Linked DNA regions of Arabidopsis thaliana. The protein of the gene in region 4 interacts with the protein of the main gene of each other region in a pairwise test. Each region holds a gene or a part of one and is shown on either strand. Other genes may lie near its edges.

Region 1 (8,109 bases), on a different chromosome or scaffold from region 4:
ATGTATCCTTGCAATCGAAATATTCAATGTTTCCGTGTAGCAAGCAAGTATATATACTTAACTTTTTGGTCATAGGTTAACTTATAGGGTTCTTTACAAAAAGCATTGGTCTCATCTCTCATGCAAAGCACCAGTTTGGTTCAGTTAATTGAAAAGTATGTTCCTTAGATTCTCTGATTGAAACGATGATTCTAGTCCCTCTCCAGTGTGTGTCCATCCCGTGTTAAAAGAAATTGACAAAACTAAAATAAAGAAAGATTGCCATTCTCTTTAAAAAAAGATTGTCTTTCTCTTTAAGAAAGATTATTAAACAGTGAACATAAAGAACCACAAATTACTCTATTCTGACTGTAAATATCATAATTAACCAGCATATGTTCACATACAATTTTTGTTTTATCTAATCACTAACTAAAATGATAAGTTTATTGAAGATAATATGGAATTGATAATTTTTTGTTTTTTTTGTTGAATCTTCTAACAAGAATGAGAGAAAACTATATGAAGTATTCAATTCCAATATGAAAAGTTAAACTTTTTCTAGGAGTGTAAAGAAATATCTCATTCTTGAATTTCTTAAAACGTGTGAAATATGGACTGTTTTCTTCATCACTAAGCTATTACTGGTTACATAATTTTCAAATTTGTTAATTTATTTTTGTTATATGGACCCAAAACAAGCTATTGGTGCCCTACACAATATTTCCTGCTTTTACAAAAGTTGGCTCTGCCAAATAAAAATTTTCAAGTTTTTAACCCCACCATAGTGCAACATGACTCAAAAGCTGTTTATACAGTATAGTCTACGGTCTTACATCGTATTTTGGAAATATGACCAAATTACCCCTTGGTTTGTCCATAAATATCAAGCTCCAACAATGCAATTCTTCCCTTTTCCCCTTCTAATTTCTCTCATCTCTCTATTAGAAAAATTATTAGCAATTATGTTGTCCACTGCACCGGCCTTTTCATTCTCCGAACCGGGTTTGGTTAATCAATTCTCGGGTTTCCAAACCGGGTTCACTCCTTGGGAATGGGATTGCTCTGATCTCTTTTTCGTGGACCAAATGTCTCTTGAACCGGCCATCCCTAGTCCTTGTTATGGTGAATCCGACACTGGTTCCGTCAAAATTAATTCCGGTTCTCATGACATGAAAACCGGTTCTGACGAATCTTGTGCCGGTTTCGTCAAAATTAATCCTCGTTGTGACGACGCCGACATATCAAACGATCTACCGTGCTCTCAAGCAGATGAACCGGACTCGGACGACACAAAACAATTGACAGCCATCACAAATTTCGGTTCGGGAGAGAATAACCATAACCGGAAAAAAATGATCCAACCGGAGATGACCGACGAGCGGAAGAGGAAGAGGATGGAGTCAAACCGGGAATCAGCGAAACGGTCAAGAATGCGTAAACAAAGTCACATTGATAACTTACGAGAGCAAGTAAACCGGTTGGATTTAGAAAACCGTGAGCTCGGGAACCGACTCCGGTTAGTTTTACACCAGCTTCAACGAGTGAATTCCGACAATAACCGGCTCGTGACAGAACAAGAGATACTCCGGCTAAGATTGTCGGAGATGCGTCGGATTCTGATCATTAGACAACTTCAACAACAGCAACAATGGGAACTACATAACCGGAGAATGATCATGACTGAACAAAACCACCCTCATCTTCAATGATAGATCAAAATATTTAAGAAGAAAAAATATCGAAAAACTTAGAACAATAACCAAAAAAAAAAAGCAAAGCAAAAAAGAAACTCTCGCTATGTCTCTCTATCTCTCTATGTAAATGAAATGAAGGTTAGGAAGAGAAAATGATAGTTTTCTAATTTTCCTTTCCACTTTCTCGTTTTCTATATGTTGTGACTCCACTACACTAGAGAAGAAGGAAAACAAAACAGATTTTTATTTTGGTTTTCTTTTTCCCACTCTCGTGTATGAGATAAATAACTTAAAGAGTTATTAAATTAATACAACGATTTACATTATTACTTAGTGGAAACTGGAAAGGCTTTATGCGCATTGACATCATGCTACAACGCCCATAATTGTTGAAAAGATACACTGTATTTTAAAGTACTAAACCAAGCCTAATAAACCGGTTGCCACGATCCCAAATACTGTAATATCACTACATAATATATCTTAATCGTTAAAATGCCTATCTCGGCCCAAATAAAGTTTTGGAACATAAAGCCCAACAATAATTTAGGTCCTCAAGTCCATTTTTGTTACGACCCTAAAAGTTTTCCCTTGATGAAAGAGCAAAGATAAACCCTAGTTTGTAACTGAACAATTAGAATAAAGATTGTGATTATATGAAGTGATTATCAAACAAATGATTCAGAAATCGGAAACGAAGAAAGAATCAGAAGAACAACGATTTTCTAATTTCCTCTTTAAGCTTTAGAAAGACGAAACAGAACATAATGAAAGAGAAAAAACAGAGCTTTTCTTTTTTTGTTTCCTGCCGCAGGACTTGGTTTCAGTTTTCAGGTTGTGTAATGAAAGTAATCGCCATTGTGTCTGTTGTTCTCTGCAATGGGGCTGCTCACGGAGCTGTTGTTAGAGAGTGAACAAAATGTGGACTTTTGCAAAACCCCTGTAGGAGAAGATCCAAATGTTGGACTATTCGTTGTACTGTTTAGTACTTCACCTAGAGGACCTCCTAAGGAGTTTCCCCATGAGATTGGTATCCAAGTATTCACCTTTTTCACAGTAGGCTCGATTGTTGTTTCATCGGTTTGGATCGATAGGTCAAGCTCGCGGGATAGCCTGAGAGGCGAGAGTGTTGTTTTTTCTTGAGCATTGTTGTTGTTGTGTGTGGAGGAAGGGGATGATGATGCTATTGGAATTGACATTGAGAGCTGTGTCCAATCTGATGTCAGCTCTTCAGGCCAAGAATTGTGATTGTGATTCCCTGAATGCTTCTCTTGGTTGCTGCTGAAATCCAAGAACGATGATCCATAGGTCTTTGCGGTATTCGGGTTGAGTAACGAATCAGAGGATATGTGTCCAAACTCAAAAGGGTTGTTGTTGTTTCTGTGTTTCTGATGAATAACCGGAGATTCCTTGGGTTGTAAGTTGACGGTGGAAGGATATATCGAAACTCCTCTGTTTTGCAAGAGTCAGTAAGTGAGATATGAACTAACAATGAATATGCAGAGTATTAAAAATCTGTTTTCACCTGTTGTTAGGTAAAGATTCTGTAGAAGGATTGATATATTGACTTCCAATGGCGAGGCTGCGGTTGCTTGATGCACGGGCATTGCTTCTGTTAGTATTACCAGCGACAACAGGCTGTTGTGGTGTAGTAACCGCTTTGGATGCAGCAGCGGCGGTTTGGTTTTGGCCAGATTGGACTTCCACAGGCTTTCTTGAACGATGACGGCCTCTGTTGATGTGTCTTTCACAGTATTTCTGATCAGGAACGGCGTCTCTTGAGCACCGCCATTTCTTCCCATCTGTTCTGCGGCATCTCCCTGGCTCAGGGTCCATGTTACCGCCTGCGAAACCGAGATGGAAAGTTCCCCATCCGACTACACAAAACCGAACATAAACACTCATTAACCATTTATAACAAAATTCCCTATGAAAAATCCTAAAAGCAACCATTGTTGTAAAGACTTTTCAACCAACAAGACAAATCTTGAAAACCCTATGAGCAATGTTATGAAGGATTTAGCACCAAAATGACATAAAAGACTAGATAAAATCTGATTCTTGGATTAAGCAACCACACCACAAATGAGTTGATCAAAACCCCAAAACTTTCACAAACAAGTGATCGCTCAATGGAAAGTTATGTGCAACTAGAAATTGTGTTAAAGAGATGGAGCTTACAGGAACTAGGAGGCAAAGATCCGTAAGGATAAAAAGACTTCTTGATAGAGATGAGCAAACTAGAAGGAACAGGGACATTGGCTGTGATGTACTTATAGATCAACGCCTGTTGCTCTAACTCAGCCCATTGAGTCAATGTAAAAGGTCCTTTAACACCTGTGAAGTTCCCTTGCATGCTCATGTTCATCATCATTCCACCAGAACCATATCCTCCTGCATTCCACAGCAAAAATGTAAAAAATTTGATTATTTTACACAACCCATTTCACCAAAATCCAATCAATAAAGAGAAGACATTATCAAACCTGAGCTTCTAAAGTAAGAAGGTGGAGGAATCTGGTGAAGAAACGGCGAGAGAGAGTTCTTGTTATTACTGCTATTATCCAAACCGACATATTTACTGAAATCAAGAGCGTCTGGTTTATCTGAGAAGCTAAGCATTTGTTCTTGACGGCGAGAATCAGAGGAAAGAGGAGAAGCAGATCTCATGAGAGGAATGCCTTGGTGAAACGACATCGTTTTGCAATAAGCAGCTGCAACAGAAGAAGACAAGTTTTCTTCTTCTTCCGCTCTAGTTGTCGTTCTTGCTAGCTTCAAGCTTCGTTGCAAGCAATCCTCACCGATGAATCCGGATCTATCTTGTTTAGTTCCTATAAGCTCTTTTAGACCAAGTGACTCATTTTCATTACTAGTAACCGACCCAAGAACATGAACACCAATATCCATAAGAAGTAAGTAATATAAAAAGAAAAAGAAGGAAAAAAAGTTAGATAATGACTTGAGAGATAGTTGCCATGGGAGGAAGATAGCTAAAGATGAGAGAAGAGAGAGACAGAGGGAGAAGAACGAGGCTTACTTTTGATTTTCTTGAAAGAGATATATATTATTATGTGTTTTTAAAATAAAATGAAAATAGTTGTGGTGAAGCTTTGGGAGGAGACAAGAATGGTACCTAAAAACACAATCCGGATCTCGGACATGTTAGAACATATTTATCCAATGCTTTTTCATTAATTTTGCTTTTAGTTCTTCTTCTTTGTTTTGTAAAGTTTTCTTTGCTTGCTTTAAAGGTACAAACTTAGCTTCCAATTTGTTTCAAGTTGTGTAAATTTATGGTCCCAAATTAGTTGTATAATATGGTGGTAGTTTCTCTATAAGAAAACGTAGGCTATTTCTGTATTATTTGCAGTACATATTTCCCAATTTGTAGGCATTTTTCTTTATGGGGGTTATTATTTTAGATTTTAGTAATTTTCTTTTGTTGTGATATATGTGCATATAGGGAAAGCTAGCTGTAACATTGTTAAAAAAAAGGGAGAAACTAGCTGTAACCTGTGGAGTTATTAGATTATTTTTGTAATGTTCAAAAGGAAAAATATTAGTGGTTTTAGAAATATAGCAACATTTTTACTTATAGTAATAGTCTTAATTCATAGAGGAGGTGAATATATATTGATATATTTTGTAATTTGTAATGCCTGTTTTTACCAGAATTTGCAGAAGAAAACAAAGGGTATACTTGAAGTGAGATTTTTGGAATATTATACTATATACACATATATTCACACTTTTAGTGAGATTTTTAGTCTAGGAAACAAATAAAAGAATTGTCCTATTCATATAATAAATAATAGTATTGAGTGGAGTACCAAATATTTATCAAGATTCACGTGGTTCCAATGATATTTTTGGACCATCTTCTTGGTCGTCTCCCCGAGGATTTAAGTTACATATATCGGATGGGCCAATTCTATTCTTGAGTGATATTACATCAACGGTTATTGATCCATGTGTTCGATTACATATGTAATCAGTGCAAGTAAAAAGTAGTTTGGGATATAACTTTGCTGGATTTTTTTTTTTTTTCTTTTTTTTTCTTCACTGGATTTATTTTCTTTGTTCATTAAAATTGCTGGACTGATGCGGTTAGTAAGCGTTATTTGCTTTGACCATAAATTTAGTGACACTCCGATTTCAGTTATGCCTTCGGGTAATAATTTGCGAATTGTCTTTTATTTATCATAAAATTAATCTGATGGTTGGATCATTGGTATGTCATATAATAGAAACAGTAAAACCAATGAACAACAAAAGGATTAGATAATCTTTTTTTCACAATATAGTATGAACTTATGTGAATGATATATACAGACGTCGTACTCATGATTTTAACTTGAAAACCATTCAATATCATTCACTTCCAAACTTTGCTATTGAACTGTCCATCACAGTTTCTTTATAATTTTTGTATAATGTTGAAATATGAAAAAAAAAAAAAAAAAAAAAAACACTAAAACTATATCAGCAAATTGACTAGCTTGTGGAGCAAAGTGAATATAATAACAATGGAAAAAGATAAGAGTGTTACTACCAATACCATCCAACAAGAAACGTATATGTTAGTTAAAGCTTTGCGTAAATGTCCTAAAAAGAAACTAACTCACAAAAAGTCACATGTGGTGTTCATGCATCGATGATGTAAATAATTACCACTCCACATAATATTATGTAGTTAAATACGACATTTTGGTTTAATTTCATAATTACGTCAGATCTGATTTTCTTTTAGTCATGCTCCATTTTGTTCGTATTATTTTTTTCTCTTGTAACTTTAGGATTCGTAATATTATTGACGAGAGATTAAGTTATAGCAAGTTTTAACTTTTAAAGATTTTACTGTTTTGCAAAATCAATGGTTGATAGAAAACCCAAAGAAGTTAGCCAATGTACTAGCTAATAACATTGTTTTACATTAATTTTTGCGGGCTACCTTTTGTACGTTTCTTAGTCCCCTCTCTCTCGCATAGGTTTCGACCTATATCCCCTGCTTACAAAACCAATGACAATAAACAAAATCAAAGATAATAAAACCAATTATCTATGCAACCAAGGCATTTTTGGGAAAGGGATGCAGACTTTAAAATATCCGAATATTTTACACTTCTAGATAGTCTACAAATAAACAACGGTAAAATTATACGAAATTGTATATCTATACTATGTTTCATGGATCATAACATATGAAAATGTAGATGTGTTGTACATAGTTTACATTCTTTAGATATGATTTGTGTGATAACCAGTAACAGTATTTATTTGATTTATTACTCTCTTTCATTTTTTTTCATTTTTTGAAACAAATTATATTGACTTGGTCTTCAAAGGCTGAGTATGTGACTCCACAAATACATAGCATCCTATTATTTGTTATCTTAATCGCGTCACATTAATTAATTTTCATCATGTACCACTCGTACTTGTAGAGCATTTACTACATTAGTTACACCAATCATTCGATAATAAGAAATAAACTTAGGAGAATTGATTAATTATTGATGTAACCGAGTAACTGGACTACTTAAAAATATATCGTTTTCAATTTTCATTATCTTATATGATGATATAGATGCGTTTCGTTTTCAGTGACAATAATAGTATTTTAGTATATTATTAACTAATTAACTAATATCGGAAATCATAGTAAGCAGGAGGAGGAGCGTGGTGTTGTCAGGACTATAAAACGTATTTGTGGAATAAATCCCTTTACTTAGCCAAGGAAAAAAACGTGCAACAGTATATATAAATATAAATGCATGCAAATATTATGAATTGAATGTAAAAAAAAACACAGATAAAACCCTAAAATCGAACTATGAGTATTTTCCTTTCGTATGGTAGTTTCGGCCAAAACCAAAATTGGCTTTGAGTTTTTTGACAACTCAATTATTGGGTACAGATTGAAACAATTGTATTTTGTTTTCCCAAAAAAGCAAATAATTAGCCAAAAAAGAAACAAAAACATTGGGAACAAGGAAAAAAATAGTGGGTAAAAAGGTAAATTTGGGTAAGATGTGGTGAATAAATGAAGTAGGAGGACATTGGGTGGCGTGTGGGAGGATGTGGGACACATGAAGAGTGTCGACATGATAGGTGAGAGATATGATACTAGATAGGTTCTTTAGTCTTAGGGTTAGACTTTTGTGACTTTTGTTAGACACCTACCTAAGTGGTTTTGTCGTCAAATCTGTTTTTAGGACTTTGGTTTTGGTTTAAGTTTTTAGTCAAAGCCTAAAAAGCTCATGCGCTACTCTACTATACACATGTGGACTCATCTTATTTAATTTCCTCTCTTTTTCATTAGGTGTGCCGTGTGCATTTATGCCTAGATAAGATAAATAAGATAGAAAAATATTTACTCTTTTACTTTATGTTATTCTAACCAGTAACGGTTTTAATAACATAAAATTTTAAC
Region 2 (8,048 bases), on a different chromosome or scaffold from region 4:
TTATGTTAGTTGTTTCATGTCCAACCACTAATTACACCAACTACACATATAAATCAATCGACCAACGACACCATATTCATTTTTTTGAGCCTCAAATTTATTTTATTTATTTGAACTTCTCTCTTTTTCTTTGTTCTGTTGTAAATCTAGATTTGAATACAATGGCGACAAATTAGATGAATGGACAATGCATGTGTTAAATATGGACTGTTTCTTCATCACTAAGCTATAACAAACATTTGGTTTAACAATTTTAATCACTTTTTTATTTTCAGAAAGTGACCTTAAACGAGTCCTATTGGCTATTGGTGTCCCACAAAATATTTTTCTACTTTCATATAAATCATAAAAGTTGGGTCTTGAAAAATAATACCAACCCCACATAGTGCCACATGACTCAAAAGTCGTTATACGTATAAAATACGGTCATACATAGTATTTCAAAAATTACCAAAATACCCTTACCAATTTTCCTTTAAATTCCAGTCTCCTTCAAATCAATGCTTCCCTTTTCTCCTTCTCTTCTCTCTCTTCTCTCTAATTAAACAATTTTAAACCGGTCATTATGATGTCTACTGTACCGGCCTTTACCTTTACTGAACCGGGTTTGGTTAACCAATTATCGGATTTCCAGACCGGATTCACTCCTTGGGAATTGAACTGCTCCGATCTCTTCTCTACAATCCATCTCGAACCGGTCGTACCGAGTCCTTGTTCTGGTGAATCCGATGCCGGTTCTGTCAAAATTAACACCGATTTTAACGGTTTTGACGAATCGTGTATCGGTTCCATCAAAACTAACTCCGGTTCTGATGATTCCAACCTTTTCCACGGCGTACCGAGTCCTCAATCCGACGAATTGGACTCAAAAAACACGAAAATCCGAAGTAACGCCACGAATCATAACCGGAACAAATTGAACCGGTCGGTTTTGCAGGTGACTGACGACCGTAAACGCAAACGGATGGAATCAAACCGAGAATCAGCGAAGCGGTCGAGGATGCGTAAACAAAGACACATTGATAATTTAAAAGACGAAGCAAATCGTCTCGGTTTAGAAAACCGGGAACTCGCAAACCGGCTTCGAATTGTTTTGTACAACATCGCATTAATGTGTACGGACAACAATCAGCTTTTGTCGGAACAAGAGATTCTCAGACGGAGATTCTTGGAGATGAGGCAGATTTTGATTTTCAGACAGCTTCAGCTGAATCCATCATTGATCATCAATCATCATCATATGATTTGAAAGAAAAAAAAATAGAAAAAAAAAAGTTTAGAACGGAAAAAAAAAATTAGATAAAAGCGAAGTATTTTTATTTCTGTGTCTCTTTTGATCACTCTTATGTGTAAATGAGAATATGAGTGTTACTTTAGATGATGGACTTCGTTTTTTTTTTGCTGTTGTTTCGTACTTGGGCCTCTCTAATCATATTTATCAAGGCCCATTAGTGAGTGGGCTAAAAGATATAAGCCTAATCAACTACTCTTGTTGACGACTACCACCCTATCATGTATTTAAAACCTTCTGCATCAAGTTGGAGTCGTCGGCTTTGAGGGTTGGAATGAAACCTCTACGTCAACCAGAGTCTTTCACAGACTTCCCAATTCCCATGTTCAGCTTGTTTCCTCTTTGATTCCTTCTTATTCCTCAAGTAGACAGACCGCAAGATTCTTCCTACAAGCCTTTTTTTTATCAAGTACGTAGACGGAATTAAGTATAGTTAGAAAAATATATGCAAATTTGAATAACGTATTATTTGTTTAAAATATATGCAAAACTATTAACCATTAACCATTAACCATTAACCATTTTGGGAAAAGATTGTTAATGATCTAACACTAAATTTATCATATGAAAGCAACAAGGTTATGTACTCCAAACTATATCTAATACTGTACTCTTGAGTCTTGAAGCATCTTGCATCTAGTGAAGATATTTATTCGGTAAGAATTGTCGTGTCTAGTGCAAGTGGAAGTGTCTGGATCGTCCCACACATGCCACGTGTTAGAATAAAATCTCCAAAAATTACACAAAAAAATCCAAATTAAAAACGTTATGGACCATCCATACATTGAGAGATTGGTCCTCCTCCACTCTTTATAATCAATTTCATTTTTTCTTGAAGAAAAACAAAAACAGGAATAAGTGAAAGGTAGGGTTAGAGAGAGAAGAGCAAAAAGTAGTTACAGGGACCCAAAAGTGGAGAAACAGAACCCAAAAAAAAAAAAAAAAAAACTAAAGTTGGAGACAGTTGTTTTGAAGAAGTGTTCTATGTCCAATCCACAAACAATGTTGCCTCTTGTCTGCAACTAGGAAACCTCTCGTCAAAATCTCTCAAGGATCACAAATTTTGTGACACTAACACTTGGTTTTAATTTTGTGGTTAGTGAAAAAAGTAAAAATTTGTATATTTTTCAGTTTTAGAACATTGTGTACATAGACTTCTTAAAACCAGGGATTTAGCTCAACGGCTATAAGAGGAACAATAAAATCAAGAATTTGATGATTGAGAACAAATAAGAGGAAAAACAAAGAACAAAGATTATGAAGAAAAAAACACACATCTCTCCTTTAGTTTCTTCTTGCTTTATATAGAAAGAAAACAGCAACAGAAACAACAATGCATCAAGTAAGAAAAACCAGAAACAGAGAAAAACAGAGTGTTTTTGTTTTCGCAATTGTCCTTAGTTTTTTTTTTTCAGTTTCACAGAGAAGGAGCAGTAGCAGAAGTATTCATCAGCGTGGTCGGGCCAAGCGGATCTTTTCCATCACCGTTCTTATTGTTGTTATCGCCAATGATGGTGCTGCTTGCCGAGCTGCTGTTAGAAAGAGAACCAAATGTCGACTTTTGCAAGACGCCTGTTGGAGAGGAACCAAACTTGGGACTATTGGTCGTGCTGTTTAGTACCTCGCCGAGTGGACCTCCCATGGAGTTGTTATTACCCCAGGAGATTGGTATCCAGTTATTCGTCTTTTTCCCGGGGTCAAGAAACTCGGTGTTGACGCCTAATCCCATGTGGATCGCGGGGTCAAACTCACGCGATAACCTTAAAGGTGAGAGTGCAAGTTTATCTTGAACAGGGGAAGATGGAGCCATAGGGATTGACATTGAGAGCTGAGTCCAATCCGATTTCAGCTCTTCGGGCCAAGAATCGACATTGTTGTGATTCCCCGCGTGCTTGGCTTGGTTGCCGAAGTCAAGATACGATCCAAAGCCTTTGGAAGAGGTTGCATACGAGGCTTGTTTATGCGACGGATTAAGTAACGAATCAGAAGAGATGAGTCCGAATTCAAAGGGATTATTGCTTTGTTTCGGATGAGTTTCCTTCGACTGTAAGTTCATCGTGGCAGGAAAAACCGAAGCCCCTCGAGAATTTTGAACTCTGCAATGCAACAAACAACCATTAAGATTTCTTGTTAATTTGTTACATCATTGAATCATCAAGAAAAGGAGAGTAAACAGTTCATTAAAGCAAAAAAATCCAAATATATGGAATCCTAAGCCTCATATTAATAAGGAGTGGTCACAATCATAAAAGATGTAGTAATAATGAATTGGTGGGTCTACTACTTACTCATAGGGCAAAGAAGTATTTAAAAGTTGAAAAAGGTATGAACATTAAAAACTTAAGAATATGCAGATAAGTTATATCAAAAAGGCAAGAGATGTTAAACGTTTTCACCTGTTAGCCAAAGAATCTGTAGATTGATTATTGGTATGATGTTGTGTTCCAACAGCAGCGGCAAGGCTATTGTTATTATCTGATCCACGCATCGCAACAGCTGAAGTCCCCGCTGCCGCTTTGGACACAGCAGCAGCGGTAGAAGCGGCAGCAGCAGAAGCAGCGGCGGCAGCATTAGTATTGTGGCCATTTTGGCCTTCCACAGGCTTTCTTGAACGATGGCGGCCTCTGTTAATATGTCGTTCACAGTACTTTTGATCGGGAACAGCGTCCCTCGAGCACCGCCATTTCTTTCCATCTGTCCGGCGACATCTCCCTGGCTCGGGATCCATGTTACCACCGGAAAAGCCCAGATGAAAAGAGCCCCATCCAACTTCATAATCACACAAAACAAAAAAATCTCTCAAGATCTCATAAAAACACCATTCCCCTAACAAAGCAAGAATCTTTAATAAACCCACCACCAATCCATACAAGATTCAATGTTCCAAAGGACTATACACTAAAAAAGATAGTATAAAGTTAATTCTTGGCTAATGTATTGGAGATAAAAGGAATCAAAACTATTGATCAATAATCTCAAATCTTTGAAAACAAAAGATAAGGAAGAGAACTTACAAGAATTAGGAGGCAAGGAACCATAAGGGAAAAAAGATTTCTTGAGAGAGAGAAGTAAACTAGATGGAACAGGGACATTGGCTGTGATATACTTATAGATCAACGCCTGTTGCTCTAGCTCTGCCCACTGAGTCAATGAAAAAGGTCCTTTTACTCCTGTCAACAAGTTTCCATGCATGTTGCTTGTGTTCATCATTCCTCCTAAACCATATCCTGACACCACAACAAAACCAATATTCCAAAATCAAGACTTCACTAAATCAAACTCTAATCAAAACCCATTTCTGTAATCTAACTCTAAGCAAAAGCCATATACTGATTTTCAAGAAAGTAAAAAAAAAAAGCAGAGTACTTTAGTTGTTTTTACAGTTCAGACCTGAGTTTCTACAGTACTGAAGATAAGGTGAGACATCTGATTTGCCTGAAGCAGAAGAGAAGCTAAGCATGTGTTCTTGTCCTTTACGAGGATCATTAATAGTGGTAGATCTCAGTAAAGGGATGCCTTGATGAAACGACAGCGTTTTAGCAGAGGCAGGGGAAGAAGAGAATCCATCAGTTGATGTTCGTGAGAGCTTTGAACTTCTCCAGCAATCTTCACCATCGAAACCGGATCTTTCTTGCTTGTTACTGAAACCAGATCCGAGTTCAGTTTGACCCGGAGAAGAAACGGTTTCATGACCAGAAACACGAACTCCAAGATCCATAAAAAATGGATTCAGAAGGAGACAAAGAAAAAGTAGTGCTAAATAATCACTTCAGAGATTTTTCCCATGGGAGGTAATCGCTTTGAGCTCAGTGAAGAAGAGAACCGAGAGAGAGAGAGAGACAGAGGGAGAAGAACGAGGCTAAGTTTTTTTATTTTATTTTATACTCTAGATATTATTTTTATTATTTTGGAGAAAGGATATTTATTATTTAATAATAACAAAAAGTAATAATTGTGGGAGTGAGAGATATGATATAGCTTTGGGTGGAGACAAAGAATGGTACCGAAAACACAATCAAGATCTCGGACATGTTACTACAAAGAAATGAAAACTATAATCAGATGCTCTACGTATGATTTTATTTTGATTTATGTATTATTTAAGATTTTAATAATTTTGTGGTTACTTTTGTGATATGAGAAAAATAATTATAGAGGAAGCAAACAATGAACTTTTTAAGATAAAAGACATGTGGACACCACGTGAGACATGTCTCTCTAGTTTCAACTTCAAACCCTAAGAAAGGAATTTTCATTTGCTTTTTGCTTTTTGCTCTAAAATTTGTTATGGTATGCATTTTTACCAAACGTTGCAAAGGGAAAGATGGGGTATACTTTAAGTGAGATTTTAGTATGAAAGAAGTTAGAGAATGAGATTGTCGTATTGAAATAATAAATATAGTATTGAGTTGAGTATCAAATATCTATCAGATTCACGTGGTTCCCAATTGTATTTGGACTGTCTAATGGTGTTCTCCAATGTACCCCAGCTGATTATAGTTACATGGGCCATTTATGTTTTTCAATCCTATCTCTTGGGTTTAAGTTTTATTACAACTTTTTTTTTTCAAATGGCCTTATCCCTTATGTAACATAAGTACATAAGTACATCATATTCATCGCTAGTGAAACTCATATCAATTAGGTTATGAATAATTTGTATTTGAAACCTTAAATCAGAAATTAGATAAGATTTTAATGGTTATATAAATTATATGAGTCAGTTCATTTTTTGCCAATAAGTTTTGAATCGGAAGTCTATAATCTAATATGATATTAGAATATGATTTATAATTCGTGTCTATCCCAATCGAAAATCGGTTCGATCCTAGCAAAAAAATTTTAGACAGCAGATTTTGCAAACAATTCTAGGGGCATTACTTTGAAAAATGTGCATCTTGAGTTTTGCATTCGTATCAAATGTTCAGAAATTCAAATTCACCTTACCTTTCTATTTTCCAAAAAGGTTAAAATGATTTTTTTTTTTTTAATTTGCTTTGAAATTAAGAAGTTGGGCTTTTCGATTCACATAAGCCTTTTCGTCGTAATCAAATATTAAAGGTGCCTAGAAGTCTAGGATGGGAGCTGGATCCAAACTATACTAAAACCATGCACGTGATAACCTGATACCCACCTCATATGAACCCAAACCATACTAGTTCTTTCTAAGACAAACAGAAGAAGAAAAAAAACACTTGCCTTTAAGCTAATAGCTAATGGTTTGGAATTAAACAATAGAAATATTTACTACGTTAAGTTGACAACGTAAAAACAAAAAATACTGTTAACTTATATTAGAATATTTTTTTATTAGTAATGGAATTTTTATTAACAGTTTAAAATATAATTATTACCCAAAACAAAAATGTTTTTATATTTTTGTTGATTTATAAAATATCTTATGATTTTTTTTTATCAAATATCTTATTAGTCATAAATATAAAATTTAATAGATATTAAAAGTTTACTAAAAGAAAAATAATTATTAGAGTCATATCAATATTTATAACAAAAATGAATATCTTTTGTTAACATAATCAATTTGTCAGTTAATTTTGTGGAACCCTGAACACAATAACCATTTAAAGGTTAAAAGTAGCAATATTGACAACTAAACGTTTTATTATAAGAATTCAAAACCTTAAAGGTATAAACTGCAAGTTTTTGCTCTATTAGATTATTTATGGGATTAAGAATATACATTTGATAAAATTAACAAACTATTTTGTTATTTTTTCATTCAAAAGAAAATTTATTATTACTCAAAAATACAATAATGTTACACTCCCATCACTAGCTACTACTACTAAACAGAAATTCAGTTTGGTTTCGAGTAGATCCATTTGATTTCAAGTACTTTGGATATAAAGATTTAAGATCCAATCAATTATTTGGTTTGGTTTTTTCTGGACTTGATTGATCCGGATCTCTCCAGATTCGGTTCGATTTCAAGTACCTGGAATATTAAAAAATAATTTAAAAATAGTAATTTTTTTTTATAAAAAACTAAAACTTCGATTTTTTTTTTTTTTTAAATATAAAAGTAATTACTTTCCTAAGTTTATGGTTTTAGTTTTTGGATAACTAGACTACATCAAATTTAAATATAATTATTATATTGGATATCTATTCGGATTTTATTCCGATATTTTGAGTATAAAAGTCTATAATCCTTTGGAATAATTTATCGGTTTGGAGTCAATTCAGAATTTTTCTTTTCTCGGTTTTAGTTCGGTTCTAGATATTTGATCTAGCAATATTCGTTTGTCTTAAACTAAACAAAAAATTATGAAACCATTCGTAATCAGGAACCTTCCAAGATTTCAATCAACTCTTAGATCTTCGCTTCTCTACACAAATCATCGCCCCTCTTCTCGATTCTCTCTCTCTACTCGTCGATTCACCACCGGAGCCACCTACATTCGCCGATGGAAAGCAACGGCGGCGCAGACACTCAAACTCTCCGCCGTGAACTCCACGGTGATGATGAAACCGGCGAAGATTGCGTTGGATCAATTTATAGCTTCTCTATTTACGTTTCTGCTTCTCTACATTTTGCGTCGGAGTAGTAATAAGAATAAGAAGAATCGTGGACTCGTCGTTTCCCAAAACGATACCGTATCCAAAAATCTTGAAACGGAGGTTGATTCTGGCACTGATGTGATCATCGTCGGAGCTGGTGTCGCCGGTTCCGCTCTTGCTCATACTCTCGGCAAGGCAAGTCTATAATCTCAATTTTTGATTTTTGCATTTCTCC
Region 3 (8,234 bases), on a different chromosome or scaffold from region 4:
ACAGTTACTCTGACTACCGTATCGGTTGCTCTGTTCCCGGAAAGTACAAAATCGTTTTGGACTCTGATAACTCTTTATTTGGAGGCTTCAACCGGCTAGATGACTCCGCGGAGTTTTTCACCTCTGTAAGCCCTTTAACTAAGCGAGAACGAAAAGAATAAACTCTTTTCTCCAAGTCGTTACAAAGGAACTAATAATTTGCTATACAGGATGGAAGGCACGACGATAGGCCTTGCTCCTTCATGGTGTATGCACCGTGCAGAACCGCTGTAGTTTACGCTGCAGTAGATGATGATGATGATGATGAACGTTCTTCTCTTGTCCCCATAGGCCTGTTACCCGAAGATGTTTAGGAGCAAAGACAGTTGTCCGAGTTTACCTACTGTAAGCTTCTTTGTACTACAAAAATTTACTCGTTGATCTTCTTCTCCTTTAGTTTTCGCTTGCAGCATCATTATAACTTAAAAATGAAATAAAAAGTCGTTGCACTTCTACATTTTGCCTAAGCTTCATCGTAGATCCTATTTAGACATGAATTTCCAAAAACAAATCTTTGAGGATATAAAATCTGCAGAGAAAGGCTACAGATACAAGGGAAATCTTAAAAGAAAAAGGGAAGAGGACAACAAAAGCCTCCCCTCTTTATACAGGAAATTTGGATAAAAACCAAAAACACAGTAAAAACCGCATTGTTGTGTTGGTTTTACACTGGTCAATGAAAGGCTTGTGTCGAGACACCAAGCTGATGGAGAACACTGGTTGGGGAAGATGAGGAAGAAGATCTCAGGGCTTCGGCCAATGGTCCGCCCATGTTGTGATGATGGTGGTTGGAACCTCCACCGCTCCACCAGCTCATGTTTTGCTGATCTCTCCCATTGTTGTTGCTCCGGGCTCCCTCTTCGTTGCCTGTGGACAGCTTCAGAGAGACGTCTGAGGAAGAGTTCCCGGGCATGGAGATGGAGAGACAAGTGGCTGAGCTCATGGGGCTTGAACTATTGTCAGCTTCTTGGAGCGAAGAACGAGGCCAATCGTCAAAGAAGGGCCTCAGGATGTGTCCTCCATCTGATCTGTTGTTACTGAATCCGATGTGGGACTCGTATGGCCTCTTGTTGTTCATGTTGTTGCTTTCTTGCTTCATCTCCGAACAACTGTTAACAGAATCCACATCTCATTGGTGAAAACAAAGCACAAAAGCAATAATTTGTCAAAAGAGAAACCACATTTAGGCTTCAACAACAAAGTTGCAGACAGTAGTAGCCTTTATATTAGTTTATAGGCTTTAAAAGTACCTTTTAATGTGGGTTTTATAAGAATTGATTAAGCAGTAAATAGAAATAGAATTATAAAGTGAGTGTTTTGTATATCATGTGTTGTGTGTGGATAGGGGAGGTGGGTGCAGAAGAATCTAAAAGCTTTAACTTTTCTGCAAGATATGAGACATATATGGGTCAGCTTTCACTAAGGTCCTACCATTTCTCTCTCTTTCTATTTTCTCTGTTTGAAAAGTCTCACACCTAGCTTCAAATTATAGATTCTATCAAATCCAATGTTATCATTATCTCTCAACACAATAAGAAAAAAGAAAGAAAGATATTTTCACAATGAAATCAAACTCATAATTCAACAAACAAACAAACCAACCAACCCTAAAATGATAAGGATGTGTCTCTCAATTTCCAACATTACCCCTCTCTTCACAACATCGCTATGAACATACAAACCAAGTTGTGTATATCATTAGTTCATACTTCATACTAATAAATCAAGAATCAGTATTGCTTTAAATCGATTTCATTATTATTCAAAACAATTGTCTAAAATCTCAACCATGAATCTTATTGGCTCAACACTAAAGAAATAAAAAAGTCAATGTGTTTAAGTTTAATGTTTTGACCATAAAGTTCAACAGCTAAAACAGACAGACCTAAGAGAAAAAAAAACAGTTTCTTTTTATTACCTTTGACTAAGGTGGAGAAGTTCAGATGAAGAGTTAGAAGAGCCAGAGAAGAAGAAAGATCCTCCTTGACCAACCACTTCCTCACTACCACCACCACCACCAAAAGCAAACGTAGATGTTGTTGTTGCTGTTGTAGTGGTGGCTGCGGCTGCTACTGATGAAGCCATGGACGTGGCAGTTGCATTGACGGTGGTTGGAGTTTCCACAGGCTTTCTTGAACGGTTGCGGCCACGGTGCATGTGGCGCTCGCAATACTTGTGGCCAGCGAAGACGTCTCTTGAACATCTCCACTTCTTACCATCCGTTCTCCTGCATCTGCCTGGCTCAGGATCCATCGCTGCCCTTCCCAAATACCCTGTTTTCAACATTCATATCACATATCAGATCAATAACAAGATTCTAATCCTACTTAATCCCATTCACACATGTTTAGATCTTCAAGATTGGCAAAACGAGATAATATACTAATATTGAAAGTCTGGATCTTGGGAACACAACTCCAACACCAGTAGCACAAAACCCATTTATATTTAAAAAATAGATAGATGAAGACTGTTCTCGAGACTCACAAGCAGGTTGGTAATGAGGTAGGTGTTGAAGAGGATGGTGAAGAAAGTAGGAAGGAGATAGATGGAGAAGGCTTTTCTTGATTGGTAAAAGGAGCTCCTGAGGAACAGCAGCACCAGCCAACATGTACCTGTAGATCAGAGCTTGTAGTTCAAGTTCTTGCCACTGTGCCCAGCTAAAGAAGCTCCCCATCTCTACAAAAAGGAATCAAAATCAATTAAACACAAACTATATGAATGAAAAGTCTAATTCTTTATCAAGAAAGATAAGATAAGAGGAAGAAAAGACTCACTGGGGAACCTGGAGGAAGAATCAGGAGACAAAGAGGAGAGTTTAGAAGAAGTAGGCTCAGGGGTAAAGAGAGGAAGAGCAGTAGAAGTTGCAGTGTGAGAATGAATCTGGTCAAAGACATGTTTTGGTATCTTAGCTGCAGAAGGTTGTTCTTCTGACTCTGTCTGATGTTGTTGCTGCTGCTGGCTTCTCCATTGTTTCAGTTGCAAATCCATTGAAGAAAGAGAGAGAGAAGTGTTGGTTACTTTAAGGATAATGGTTTTTCCCCTTTTTTGTCTTCCAGGGTTCTGATTTAATAGCTTATGAAAGTCTTGTTGGTTGGGTTACGAAGAGCAAAAGAAAAGAAAAAAGAACTTTCTTTGCTCGAAGGAAAAAGCTTTGTTCTTGGTAGTCAGTTTCTGTATCTGAGCTTCTTCTGCAGAGAGAGAAAGGACAGAGTAGAGGGAAAGAGGTTTTTAATAGAGAGACTTGCGAGAAAAAGACAGTGAGACAAGACAGATGCGGGGAGAAAATACTATACAGTAAAAAAGACTACTACTATAGTATAACTCTTTATTAATTGTGTTCACAAATCTCTCTTCATTAATCTCAAAGACTATTTAAAATAATTGGTTTAACATTTGTATCAATAAAAAAATGAAAAGCAAGTCAGAAAACCCAGAAAGAACCACTCTGCAAGATGAAGATGGAGAGATAATAACCTGCAGTTTTTCTGTCTTTGCTGCTTTGGAAATACCAATCTCCATTTTTATATTAGTATAGCTTTTTAATTTGTTTTATAATGAAAACAAAAGCCTACTTGTTAAGAATATTTAATTAGTCTTTTAACCAAGTAATTTAGATTATTTAATGAGTAAGCGTTACGTCGATATAATTTGTAATTTGCATTTGTGACAAACCTAACTACTTTTAAATTTGAATTAGTATAAAATTCGTTTAGGTTCCTATATTATCATATCATACGGCACTAGATGTAGTACTTGCCACTCTATTTTCTTTTTTAACTGATTAATTTTGTACCTTCGTTCATAGATCTAGTCCGAAAATGGTAATATTAATTCGGGTAGAATCGGCTGAATTCTTGGTGGAATGAATCTGTTGCAGAAAAACTGAAAATATTATTTTGATATAATTATTTTAAAGCGTTATGCCAAAATTGACTGAAAAATTAATCAAACTAACATAACTGGTGGGAAAAAAAATGGAAACATGAGTTTAATAAATTCATCAGGCTAGTTGAACATGGATGGAGCCTCGAGAGAGAATCCCGGGTTAGCAGCAGCGGGAGGTGCGGTGCGTGATGGGAACGAGAACTGGGTTGGGGTTTTTGCTTTGAATATCGAAATCTGTTCAGCGCCACTAGCAGAGTTGTGGGGACTCTACTATGGGTTACACATAGTCTGGGAGCAAGGAATAACACGCCTTGAGCTGGAAGTGGATTCGAAGATCGTGGTTGGGTTTTTACAGACAGGGATACCGGATTCTCATCCTCTATCTTTCCTACTACGTTTGTGTTATGGCTTCATATCAAGGGACTGGTTAGTCCGTATTTCTCACGTGTATAGGGAGGTCAATCGTCTTGCGGACGGGTTAGCTAACTATGCGTTTTCTTTACCTCTTGGTTTGTATGTTTTTAATTCAGTTCCGGATTCTATTGCTTCTTTTGTTTTGGAGGATGTAAATGGGCCTGCGTTTTCAAGAACTATCCGAATGTAATTTCGTATTTTCTTTTTAATAAAATTGGCGGATTTTCCCCCTTTTCCTACCAAAAAAAAAAAAAAATCATCAGGCTTGAGAAACATTAAAAAAAATGGTTGTAAATGTTTATATTTTAAGTGATAGTTAAGTGAATTATAAATATTAAAAGTATTCAAGTAATTTCTCTATTAGCAAAGTTGCAGAGATTCTTGGAAGTTTTTTTGCCAAATAATTGTTAGCTATTCAAGATTTTTGTCAAAAACTTTTATACGGCGTGGTACGAGTTCATGTTGTCTTGAGTAAACATGACAAATGCATCCTTGTTTATGAGAACTCTTAGAGCAAGGTTAATCCACCTGAGGGTTTTTGAGAGGCCCGGATGCTTGAAGAGTATCGTATGAAGTTTTGGTTGTTGGAAGACCTCGGATTGCGTCATTGCGGAAATGTTAAAGCGAACGGCTTCCACAGAGTCTCAGCATATCCAAGGGAAAAGTCTCATGGGCGTCATCGCCTATACGTATTGCATTATTAGCTAGTTCAAAGATGTGGGAAAATATTTCATCTAACTATCACTTCTCTGTTTTTTTTTTTTTTTTTGACATCCATCTAACTATCACTTCTCAATCACTATGTATCTCATGTTTTCTTTAACAAATCTAAAAGAAAATGAATTCATGAATTGTATGTCAGAATGTTTAGCTAAACTCAAACCCCGAAGCTTTAAAATAATGGTAGAACGATGTCTCAAGAGTCTTAGGAGTCATGTATTAATTATAGAACAAACGACTACTTATGAGTTATTATATCTTTTACAGTTTTACTATAGACTGAAACCAAAATTTTCTGGTTCAAATTTGGTTAAGGTAGGCAAACTTTTGGTCCAATAATTTCTTTCATCTTTTATCAACGGTTAGATTTTGTATTCTATTCAATTTTGTATACAACAATTACATTCTTTTTGGGTTGATTTAGGTTTTACATTCGGTTCTGACTGAGGTAAAAAAAAAGATAGAAGAAGAGAAAATGAAGTAAAGAGGAGAGAAGTAAGTAATAATGAGAAAAGAGAAGCAGGTGGGCTGTGTCAGAGAAAGCTCAGAAGTAAAAAGCATAAAAGTGAGTAACCAAGTGGGTGGTGAGGGTTTGTTTCTCTTTGGGCTGTGATTCATCTTTGATTTGACTACTCATAGTACTTCTTCTTTTTCTCACTCTTACCCCCTCTCTTTTCCTCTATTTTTCACTTTTTACCCTCATAAAATCTTTATTCACATTTTTCTCACACTCCAATTCATTTAACAAAATTTTAATCACATAATACAAAATCTTAATCACATTTCCCTTTTCACGGTTTATCTTTCTATAATTTTAATAAGTTTCATATTATCTGATGAAAATTAAACATCAAACTTTGTTATTTATAATTTTAGTAAATAGATTTTTTTTCTTTTTTATTTCATAAGAGATTAAGTTATTTAATGTAAAGCTTCTCTTGACTGTATAATATCTTAACTATATTATTCTTATAAAATTTCTCAAATTTCAATAACCGTATTATGTTAGTCTACAAAAAAAATTATATTACATCAATATTCTTACATACCAAACTAAGATATATATTGTCCAGTTCTTTTCATGGCATATGTATTTTACATGCTCTATTTTAAAAAATTACTACGTGTTTCAATATCAGTATTGTTGAAATTATACACCCTCCAACGAGTAAGGAGATAACCCATTACAATGCATTGGCACTGATCTACATGAACATGACTGACCAGATTTAACCATTCGAGCAAACAAAATAATAAGTCAACTATATTTTGAATAGTCACAAAACTATACATCGTAATTACAAAACTATTTCTGACATATAAGATTAATAGGTTAAAAGAACCACCGTCGAATCGTTGATGTACGTAGTAGTAGTATCGTATTAACGAGGCAATGATATAACTATCAATATTTTTCGTAAGAAAACACAAGTTTCCTTATTCTTTTCTTACGTCGGCGATAAAAGTTAATGTCGTACTTTGATTTATGAAATTGTGATGGAAAATTGTTTTAATTAATTAAGAAGAGAAACGAGTTATTTGTACAAACAAATCTGAAAATATAGAAATAGAGCAAAGGACAGAGAATAAGAAGAAGAGGCAAAGGAGGGCGAGAGTTCACATGTTCAAGAGAAGACAAATACGTTTCTCTGACACAAATCTGTCAGACCAATATTTTTAAATATTTTATTGTATAGTTTTTATTTTGTTTTGTTGTATGAGAAAGAAACGTATATTATGTCTTTATTACCACCACAAGGGGTCAGGCTCCGTCCACTTGGGGTCCCAATTTTTTCTTTGTTACGAGTTTTTTTTTGTAGTAAAAGGCAAGTCACGCCGGCACGCGAGCCCTCACGTGATCCCACGTGCTTTATTTATTCTCTCCATACCAAAATTTCTTTTCCTTTGTTGTTTGGTAAGGTTTTTTCTTTTTTGGCCAAAATATGATATTGGCGAGATTGAAAACATGTATATTTTTAAAAAAAATGTAGGCGTAAAAATTATGTTACTAACACTTCATTAAGCATATGCCAAGATTTTTAAATTAAAATTTATATATCACTATTGGTCGTTTTTTTTTTTGTGTGTGACAGCAGCTCACTATTGGTTGTTTATATTAACCACATACTAAATAAGGCTAGCTACTACCAAACTTGGACCAGAACCTAACACATGATGTTATTTTTAGTAATATGAAAAAAAAGAAACGAAAAGGAAAAAGGAAAGAATAGATCTTTCTGGTGAGAGAGCATACACAACACATTGGTGACACAAGGTATCTAAGGGCATGACCGCACGTGTCAACATGCATCAAACATGCGATCTTTCAATATTAGTATTATATATTTAGCAAAGACGCAAAAGAATCCAAGGCAAAGACTACTTCGCCTGCATGTCATGCCAATCTCTCTCTATATGTTTTCTAATCAATATACTAGATTACTAGACAAGTTGTTTTCTAATAAGATCTCTCACATATGAGCCAATTTGAGCCAAAACATGATATGATGGATAAAGCTTATTTGGGTATTGAAAGTATAGAGACTGTCAATGAGAAAGTAGTCATTTGGGCCCAAGTACAGAGATTTAAACCTTATCAGGAAAAGCCCAATCCAGTACAAACTTGAAGAAAAAGATTGATCTCCTTGTAAGTTGCAACTGGTAAAGAATAGGACCTTTGTTCAAGGTCTACTGTATTGAGATACTGAATTAGTATAAACGGCCACTTAAAACTACTTTGTATTTGTTTAGGCCCAAAACATTGGACTATCATGTTGAGAAAATAAACACGAACGCAACAGAAGTTTCCTACTTATTATATAGCCCAACAAATATTGATCTCTTTGCTTCCAATGAATCTTTGTTAAGGCCCAAAAAATACAAAGCCGAAACTACTTCCATCTTGTACTATTTTTAAGTTTATTTTTTGGAAATTTTACCATGTATGATTCAGATCGTTGGTTTAAATTTTTACAACTAGAAAATAGTATATACTCTATTAGCCTATTATGATATTAATTAATGGGCAATATTTCGATTAGTTTACGTGTAGAGTGTAGTGATAATGTATTTAGGTTTTGACCGGCAATAATGCATTTGTAAGAAAAGTCTTTGGACAATAATAGCTTTGGTCAAGTCAATGTAGAACAGAAGACTAATTTCTCTTGACAAAA
Region 4 (7,004 bases):
CCGCCGTCACTCCCCACTCACACAGCTTCTCCAAAGCCGAACCGGTCGAGAAAGGAACCGGCAATATCGAACCGGAAAAATCCGAGATAACCACGTTTTGCATAAACTGGTACATAAGCAGAACGTCACCGTTAACCAAAGCCATGTCCTTAAACCGGTCTCGAAAACCGGGCCAGCCACGGAAGTCGTCGACGCATAGAATCTGAGTCTCCTCGAGCCCAAGTCGGCGCGTGAGATTCGCCATGTGTATCGCCGACGCGCCGAGAAAACTCCCGACTTCGACGATCGTCTTAGGTTTGACTCGGCGGATTAGATTCTCGAAAACGGCCCCGTATGATCCCCAACCTTTGATTCTTTTTGGCCGGAGAAACTTCTTGGCGTGCGGTGGTGGGAAATCGATGTACGGAGAAGTTCCGTTAAAGATCCGGTCAATAACAGTCTGGCGAATCAATTCCGGCGGAACAAGATTGCCGCATGGAGTCGTAACTCGGAAGTTGTCGATTGAACAAACTTGAGGTTTTGTCGTTTCCACGGCTGTCGTAGACGGTGGCAGCTGCTGCTGCAGCGGTTGATGATAGTGGTAGGCGGAGAAGTAACCAAAGGCGTAGGTTAGAACTATGACGATAACGTACGCAGCCTTGGTTTTCAAGAATTGGAAGGCGTCGCGTTTGTGAGGAAGACGACGATCCTCCTTCATGGTCAAGATTTCTGAGAATGAAGAATCAAGTAAAAACAAAATAGGATTAAGGAAGGATAATTGTTTTTGTTATTAAGTTTATATAATTCGAATTATGGAAATTTATTTATGATTATTTTGGCGGGTCAGTTTGTTGAGACGTTTAAATACAGTCGGATAAGGAAATTGCTCACGTCGTGATCTAATTTATTTGTATTTATTTGACTTTACGTGTCTAGAAAGCTACATGTGATGTAGTCATTTACAATCAAAATCATTTGCTTTAATCCTTGACTTAATTCATTCTGTATTTCGGGTTTTATGAGTTTAGAAAAACCATATAAAACAAAAACTTATTTAACTCCCCTAGACCTATTAATAAATGAAACTACGAATCTCTAATCTTTAGTGTATTTACAGTTTTCCAACGAAATCATATGTTATAACACGACACGACCTCAATAGTCAATAATAAGTAGAATCATGTTTTGAACATGTCAAATGCAGCACTGATTCGAAAGAATAAAGAAAAAAAGAGTTTTGAATCGTAATTCTGCAAGAATTAAAGTGTAGTGTTTAATATATGTGGCATTCGCCGAGATCATCTTATAATAGAGTATGTGTCATACGCCGAAAACAATGTTGGACACTTGGACCTTTCCTTACTGATAAATAAATAAATTCATATCAACTAGCAAATTAGCATATTACAGGTTTTGGTTATAACAATTACTCGAGCTAGACGTATGATGAAATTCAGCAAACTAGTAGATTTGCTATTATATCTTCCCTTGTGATGATTGTAGTTTTGTCTCTTAATAAAACTAGTAATTAACGTTTCAGAAAACAATGCCCATTTTGGTAATTTCACAGAGATTTATCCAAAGTTTTTAAAGAGATAAGACGATAGAGTTGGACGACCGTCTTCCACCGTTGAATTCTTCTGGAACTGGAGTCCACTGTTTAAGCTTCACTGTCTCTGAATCGGCAAAGGTAAACGTATCAATTATTCTACAAACCCTTTTATTTTTCTTTTGAATTACCGTCTTCATTGGTTATATGATAACTTGATAAGTAAAGCTTCAATAATTGAATTTGATCTGTGTTTTTTTGGCCTTAATACTAAATCCTTACATAAGCTTTGTTGCTTCTCCTCTTGTGAGTTGAGTGTTAAGTTGTAATAATGGTTCACTTTCAGCTTTAGAAGAAAATGGCATCAGGAGGTAAAGCCAAGTACATAATCGGTGCTCTCATCGGTTCTTTCGGAATCTCATACATCTTCGACAAAGTTATCTCTGATAATAAGATCTTTGGAGGCAAGTTCTGCTCAAGATTTATCTAGTTTTGTGTGTGTTTTCAAGTTAGGGACGATCTTAATGGTTATCTTCTTGTGAAAATTTCAGGGACTACTCCAGGAACTGTCTCTAACAAAGAATGGTGGGCAGCAACGGATGAGAAATTCCAAGCATGGCCAAGAACCGCTGGTCCTCCCGTTGTTATGAATCCCATTAGCCGTCAGAATTTCATCGTCAAGACTCGTCCGGAATGAGAAAATAATAAGTTCAATGCTTTGATTTTCAGAATAAGATGAACGATGACGATGTTTTCTAAATCCGAGCTTGTACTAAATAACAATACATTACAACACGGTTTGCGGAACTACTCCACAGTCTATCTTCTGTTAAAAAACTCAAACAAGCTATTGCAAAAAGCCCTTACGAGACTCACAAGTCCTAAATATCAACAAAACAAAGCTTCTTTGGATCCTTTTCACTTGCCATCATCTTTTCCTTGTCCATCTGCTCCATCTTGCTTTCCTCCTCTAAGCCCCACTGTTAGCAAAGAAAGAAGTAATGGATACAAGTTACAATTTATGAGATTGAGTATTGTCTTAATAATGTAAAGAGAGTTACCGTTTCCTCCAAGACCGGTTTCTGGTTGTTGCATCGCATGCTGCATCCCGTTGTTGGTCATACCCATTGGTCTAATCCCCATGTGTCCTTGCATAGCTTGCTGATGTATCTGCTGCTGCTGTTGCGGATCCTGAAACTGGAGTGGGCTACCAAACTGTAAAGGACCCCTTGGAGCGAAAATCCCTGCAGGGGATGCTTGTGGGTGTTGCATGAAGTAGCTAGGTGGTTGCATCCCAGAATGCGGTGTTGCCATCTAACAGAAATCATACCCAACAGTAAGCAAACCCCCAAACAACATTAAATTTCTGTGATAGATCGCAATTGAGTTTTATCATCACAAACAACCTGGGCAGCGACAGCTGTAGATGGTGAAGGTCCTGGCGTAGGTGGTGGGGGTTGAGCATCAGCAATTGCAGCAAGATACATCAAGTTCTTCTGGAGAAGAGCTTGGTACCTGAAAATATAACAGAGCAAAAGATAGAATAACTATATAAACCTCACCATTAATAATAGTAATTCTAAGCTTCCATTACTATCTAAGAGACATAAGAAGATGGATAGAAAAGGTGAGACTTACTGGGCGCACTCAGCAAGTTTACCGAGATTCTGGTTTTCCATGATGGCCATAATCAGCTTCTTGTTCTCATCAAGGTACTGCGTTTAAGCAAAGGAAAGAGAATGACAAGGAAATGACGATGCAGCCTATCATCTTACCATGGAAGACATCAAGCCAAGAGAAAGTACAAAACAACAACATCAAGCAAGCATCTAACTTCAATGTCCATTCTTGAAAACCGGATTCAAAGTTTCCTGACCCACCAAGCATCTACTAATTTCCTAGTCCTAGAAACTGTCTCTTCTCATCATCACCAACAACAGACTCTCAAGTGTTGTGGAATTAACGAGAAAGATTCAAATGAAAACCCTAATTGCCACCAATTACAGTCAAAAGAGTATTACTTGCACTCAGAAGCCAATGATTTTGTCAGTACAAAAAAGCTCTAAGAGCCTCCTAAGTAGTGTTGAACAAATTAAGAGAGAGGGAGAGATATAGGGTGAGAAAGAAGGAACCTTTTGGATCTGTTCGGTAGTGATGTTGTTAGCAGGGGGAATCGACGGAACCATCGGAAACATTTGCGGAGACTGCTGCTGCTGCATCTTCTTCTTCTTTACTACTTACTTTGCCCCAACTAAACCCTAATTTCGTCTTCCCCAAAAAACCCTCGACAAAACCCAGACCGATCCAAACGCAGGAAATGATTGCAAGCTATATCTATATATATTATAGAGAGAGAATCCTGCAATTTATTACTTGGATTCACCTGGATGTCGAACCACCTCTGTGTGGATTTTATGACCAAAAATGCCTCTGTCTCTCTCTCTCTCTCTCTAATTTGTCTTTACAAAACTCTAAACGAAAACATAAAACATTAATTAATACAGCAACGAGCAACCTCTAACCAAATTAGAAAGTTTTGGATATATTTGGGCCAATGGGAAAAAAGGACATATTTGGGCCTAAGACGGTTCTAAGGCCCATGGACCATCGAGAAAGTTACATTGCAAAGTACTACATTGAGTCAGTTTCTTCCTTCTTCGCCTAAATTCGAAATTTCGAAACCTCAGACACACTTACAGAGAGACCAAACGGTAACATACAGTAGCTTCTTTTTCTTATTCGTTAAGAAATCTCACGTAAACCCTTCGAATTTCTCAAATCTTCACTCGGAATCTGAAAAAAAATGGTGAGTGATCTCCCGCTTGATGAAGATGATATCGCTCTCCTCAAGAGTCCTTATGTAAGCACCCCTTTTAGAAGAAACCTTTAATTTATTTTTTCTCGAATTTTAGTCTTTACTCGGATGTCGCTTGTGATACGTTAGAGAACAATTTGATATTTTTTACTGTGTAATTAGAACAAATTATGTCTTAATTGGTCTTAGATAACCTTAAATTGGTCGATTTAGTTCAATTTTGTGTAAACACTCTTACTTGGATTTATCTTCTTCTCTATCTTAGATAGGTGAAATTGTTGAAGAAATTGGCTTTGTGAGAGAAAAGCGCATTGCTCATTGTATTGTTCAGTGTGATGATGGTGGTGATGAGGACGTCAACTCTGCTCCAAACATTTTCACTTATGATAATGTGCCTCTTAAGAAGCGCCACTACCTTGGGACAAGTGACACTTTCAGAAGCTTTGAGCCGTTGAACGAACACGCATGTATTGTATGCGATATTGCAGACGATGGTGTAGTACCTTGTTCTGGGAATGAATGCCCTCTCGCTGTTCACAGGAAGTGTGTTGAGCTTGATTGTGAAGATCCTGCAACCTTTTACTGTCCCTATTGTTGGTTTAAGGAGCAAGCTACTAGATCCACGGCTTTGAGAACAAGGGGTGTTGCAGCTGCGAAGACCCTTGTTCAATATGGATGTAGTGAGCTGAGGAGTGGAGATATAGTCATGACGAGAGAAAACAGTCAACTAGAGAATGGTTCTGATAATTCACTACCAATGCAACTACATGAGAACCTTCATCAATTACAAGAACTGGTCAAGCACCTTAAGGCTCGAAATTCCCAGTTAGACGAGTCAACAGATCAATTCATTGATATGGAGAAATCTTGCGGAGAAGCTTATGCTGTTGTTAATGATCAGCCAAAAAGGGTACTATGGACAGTCAACGAAGAGAAGATGTTGAGGGTAAAACCACCACACTTTTTTCTTGAAATACACTTTTAGCTTAAACTTATAGTATATGTTTATTTTGGATAGGAGGGAGTGGAGAAATTTTCTGATACAATCAACAAAAACATGCCTTGGAAGAAGATTTTGGAGATGGGAAAAGGTATATTCCACACAACTCGTAATTCCTCCGATCTTAAGGACAAATGGAGAAATATGGTGCGTATGTGATTCCTTTCACCATAAAATCCTTAGAAGTATTAAATGACGCATTTGATATCAAAAACATTAAGACAAATCCTAGTGACCTTTTGAATTGGCAGTATAGTAGTGTGACGACTTTGATGTTAGTCCTTCCTTGTAATCGCAGTTTCGGATTCCTCCGTGTAGATCTTTTGGTAACAGTAGTCCTTATAGATGATGTTCGCTTTGTATCCCTTATGTTGATATTAAGAGAAGATAACGTGTCTTTTGTAGTAGCCGTCCCACTCTGTTAGTCTTTTGTTTTGTACCCTTCTTTAAACAAAACAGAGGATTGAGAAAAAGAGAATCATATGGGAATTATGGATATAATTTTGAAGAACTTAAAAATAGGTTAATCTTTTAAGACTATGGGGAGATAACTTGTCGCACAAGTACCAAATGTTTCGGAAACAAAGGTGAAAAAATCTACAAACTTAACAATAAAACCACAAGTCTTCCATTTGTACGGAGGTTAATAATAATTAATACCAAATAAACGACAACACTTGAAGTAGTCAAAACTTTTATAGAATTATCTTGATTTGGTTGAGGTCGAGATTGACATCATCATCGTCGTCGCAGAGATCGGAGATCAAAATGGAGAGGGAAAGAAACGCAGGAGTGATGAAGAAGATGAGTCCAACAGGAACCATCCAAAGATTAGAATTTGTGGGATGGTATTTGTAAAGCCAATAACTTAGAAACAATCCTCCACATATATTCACAATCATCGAATACAAGAACACCATTGACGACGTACTCTTCTTCTCCTTCCTTGTCCTCTTCTTCATATTCGTGTTCATGCTGCTTTCGTGGTTCATTTGCAAGAGGATCTAAACAAGTTATGATTCGCCTTTTTATTAATTAATTTACTGGGAGTTAGGTGAAGTGAAAGAAAAGATGGATGACAATAATAGATTCTATATTGTTAGAGTGTATGAGTAAGTAAGTATATATGCAGTCGGGTTCCGGTTCGTGTAGGTCGGTTTAGAAAGTATATTTCAATTAAACTCGGTTTTTAGTCGTTTTTCTAACGAAATGTGTTTGGTTTTTAGAGATTATTTATGAGCAAAACTGAGTTTGTGTTTGGGTTTTAGATAGGGTACCTAAAACTCGATTAAACATTTAGACCAGTTTCCAGCTGGTCCGACTCCGATTTAGGTTGGTCAATGTATGAAAGGCAAATCTAAACATAAGACACATTTTATGTTATGTATTACTAAATTACTACAAAAAAAACTCCTACAACTCCAAAATACACAATGGTTTAGATTTAGATATACATGTTTTTAGAACTAAAATTATTGAGGTATTTTATAATAGTACTCCAAGTTATAATTTCTGTTACGAGGCGAGAATAAACGTGGGAGAGGAAGGAAAAAAAGGTGCCGTGCGGTGCAACTAGATTTTACATATTTGTACACATATTTCACGATTGAATCTTTCAAGACATTATATGCTTTATCAAATTTTATATATATAACAATTAG

Evidence for each region.
Region 1: the proteins of GIF2 (region 4) and GRF2 interact in binary tests that used the Arabidopsis thaliana proteins (3 or more experiments, as listed by UniProt).
Region 2: the proteins of GIF2 (region 4) and GRF1 interact in binary tests that used the Arabidopsis thaliana proteins (3 or more experiments, as listed by UniProt).
Region 3: the proteins of GIF2 (region 4) and GRF3 interact in a two-hybrid assay, tested with the Arabidopsis thaliana proteins (2 studies listed by BioGRID).

The regions. Positions count from the first base shown.
Region 1 is NC_003075.7:17,723,027-17,731,135, forward strand, and holds GRF2 (growth-regulating factor 2), read right to left. Parts: upstream 4,884-8,109; 5' UTR 4,584-4,883; coding exon 4,163-4,583; intron 4,071-4,162; coding exon 3,858-4,070; intron 3,554-3,857; coding exon 3,202-3,553; intron 3,129-3,201; coding exon 2,507-3,128; 3' UTR 2,311-2,506; downstream 1-2,310. Other genes in the region: bZIP7 (basic leucine-zipper 7), read left to right, coding at 774-1,691. UniProt on the Arabidopsis thaliana protein: Transcription activator that plays a role in the regulation of cell expansion in leaf and cotyledons tissues.
Region 2 is NC_003071.7:9,725,802-9,733,849, reverse strand, and holds GRF1 (growth-regulating factor 1), read right to left. Parts: upstream 5,371-8,048; 5' UTR 5,010-5,370; coding exon 4,682-5,009; intron 4,519-4,681; coding exon 4,306-4,518; intron 4,061-4,305; coding exon 3,688-4,060; intron 3,388-3,687; coding exon 2,709-3,387; 3' UTR 2,549-2,708; downstream 1-2,548. Other genes in the region: bZIP6 (basic leucine-zipper 6), read left to right, coding at 566-1,249; SQE2 (squalene epoxidase 2), read left to right, coding at 7,580-8,008. UniProt on the Arabidopsis thaliana protein: Transcription activator that plays a role in the regulation of cell expansion in leaf and cotyledons tissues.
Region 3 is NC_003071.7:15,269,588-15,277,821, forward strand, and holds GRF3 (growth-regulating factor 3), read right to left. Parts: upstream 3,529-8,234; 5' UTR 3,031-3,528; coding exon 2,817-3,030; intron 2,719-2,816; coding exon 2,527-2,718; intron 2,517-2,526; exon of another isoform or gene 2,313-2,516; coding exon 1,958-2,312; intron 1,149-1,957; coding exon 713-1,148; 3' UTR 501-712; downstream 1-500. Other genes in the region: SBE2.1 (starch branching enzyme 2.1), read left to right, coding at 1-125, 210-353. UniProt on the Arabidopsis thaliana protein: Transcription activator that plays a role in the regulation of cell expansion in leaf and cotyledons tissues.
Region 4 is NC_003070.9:69,326-76,329, reverse strand, and holds GIF2 (GRF1-interacting factor 2), read right to left. Parts: upstream 3,974-7,004; 5' UTR 3,748-3,973; coding exon 3,661-3,747; exon of another isoform or gene 3,416-3,660; coding exon 3,314-3,415; exon of another isoform or gene 3,244-3,313; coding exon 3,167-3,243; intron 3,044-3,166; coding exon 2,935-3,043; intron 2,843-2,934; coding exon 2,590-2,842; intron 2,509-2,589; coding exon 2,447-2,508; 3' UTR 2,234-2,446; downstream 1-2,233. Other genes in the region: AT1G01180 (S-adenosyl-L-methionine-dependent methyltransferases superfamily protein), read right to left, coding at 1-697; AT1G01170 (ozone-responsive stress-like protein (DUF1138)), read left to right, coding at 1,887-1,992, 2,080-2,225; AT1G01150 (Homeodomain-like protein with RING/FYVE/PHD-type zinc finger domain-containing protein), read left to right, coding at 4,332-4,388, 4,609-5,289, 5,362-5,490, 6,045-6,215. UniProt on the Arabidopsis thaliana protein: Transcription coactivator that plays a role in the regulation of cell expansion in leaf and cotyledons tissues.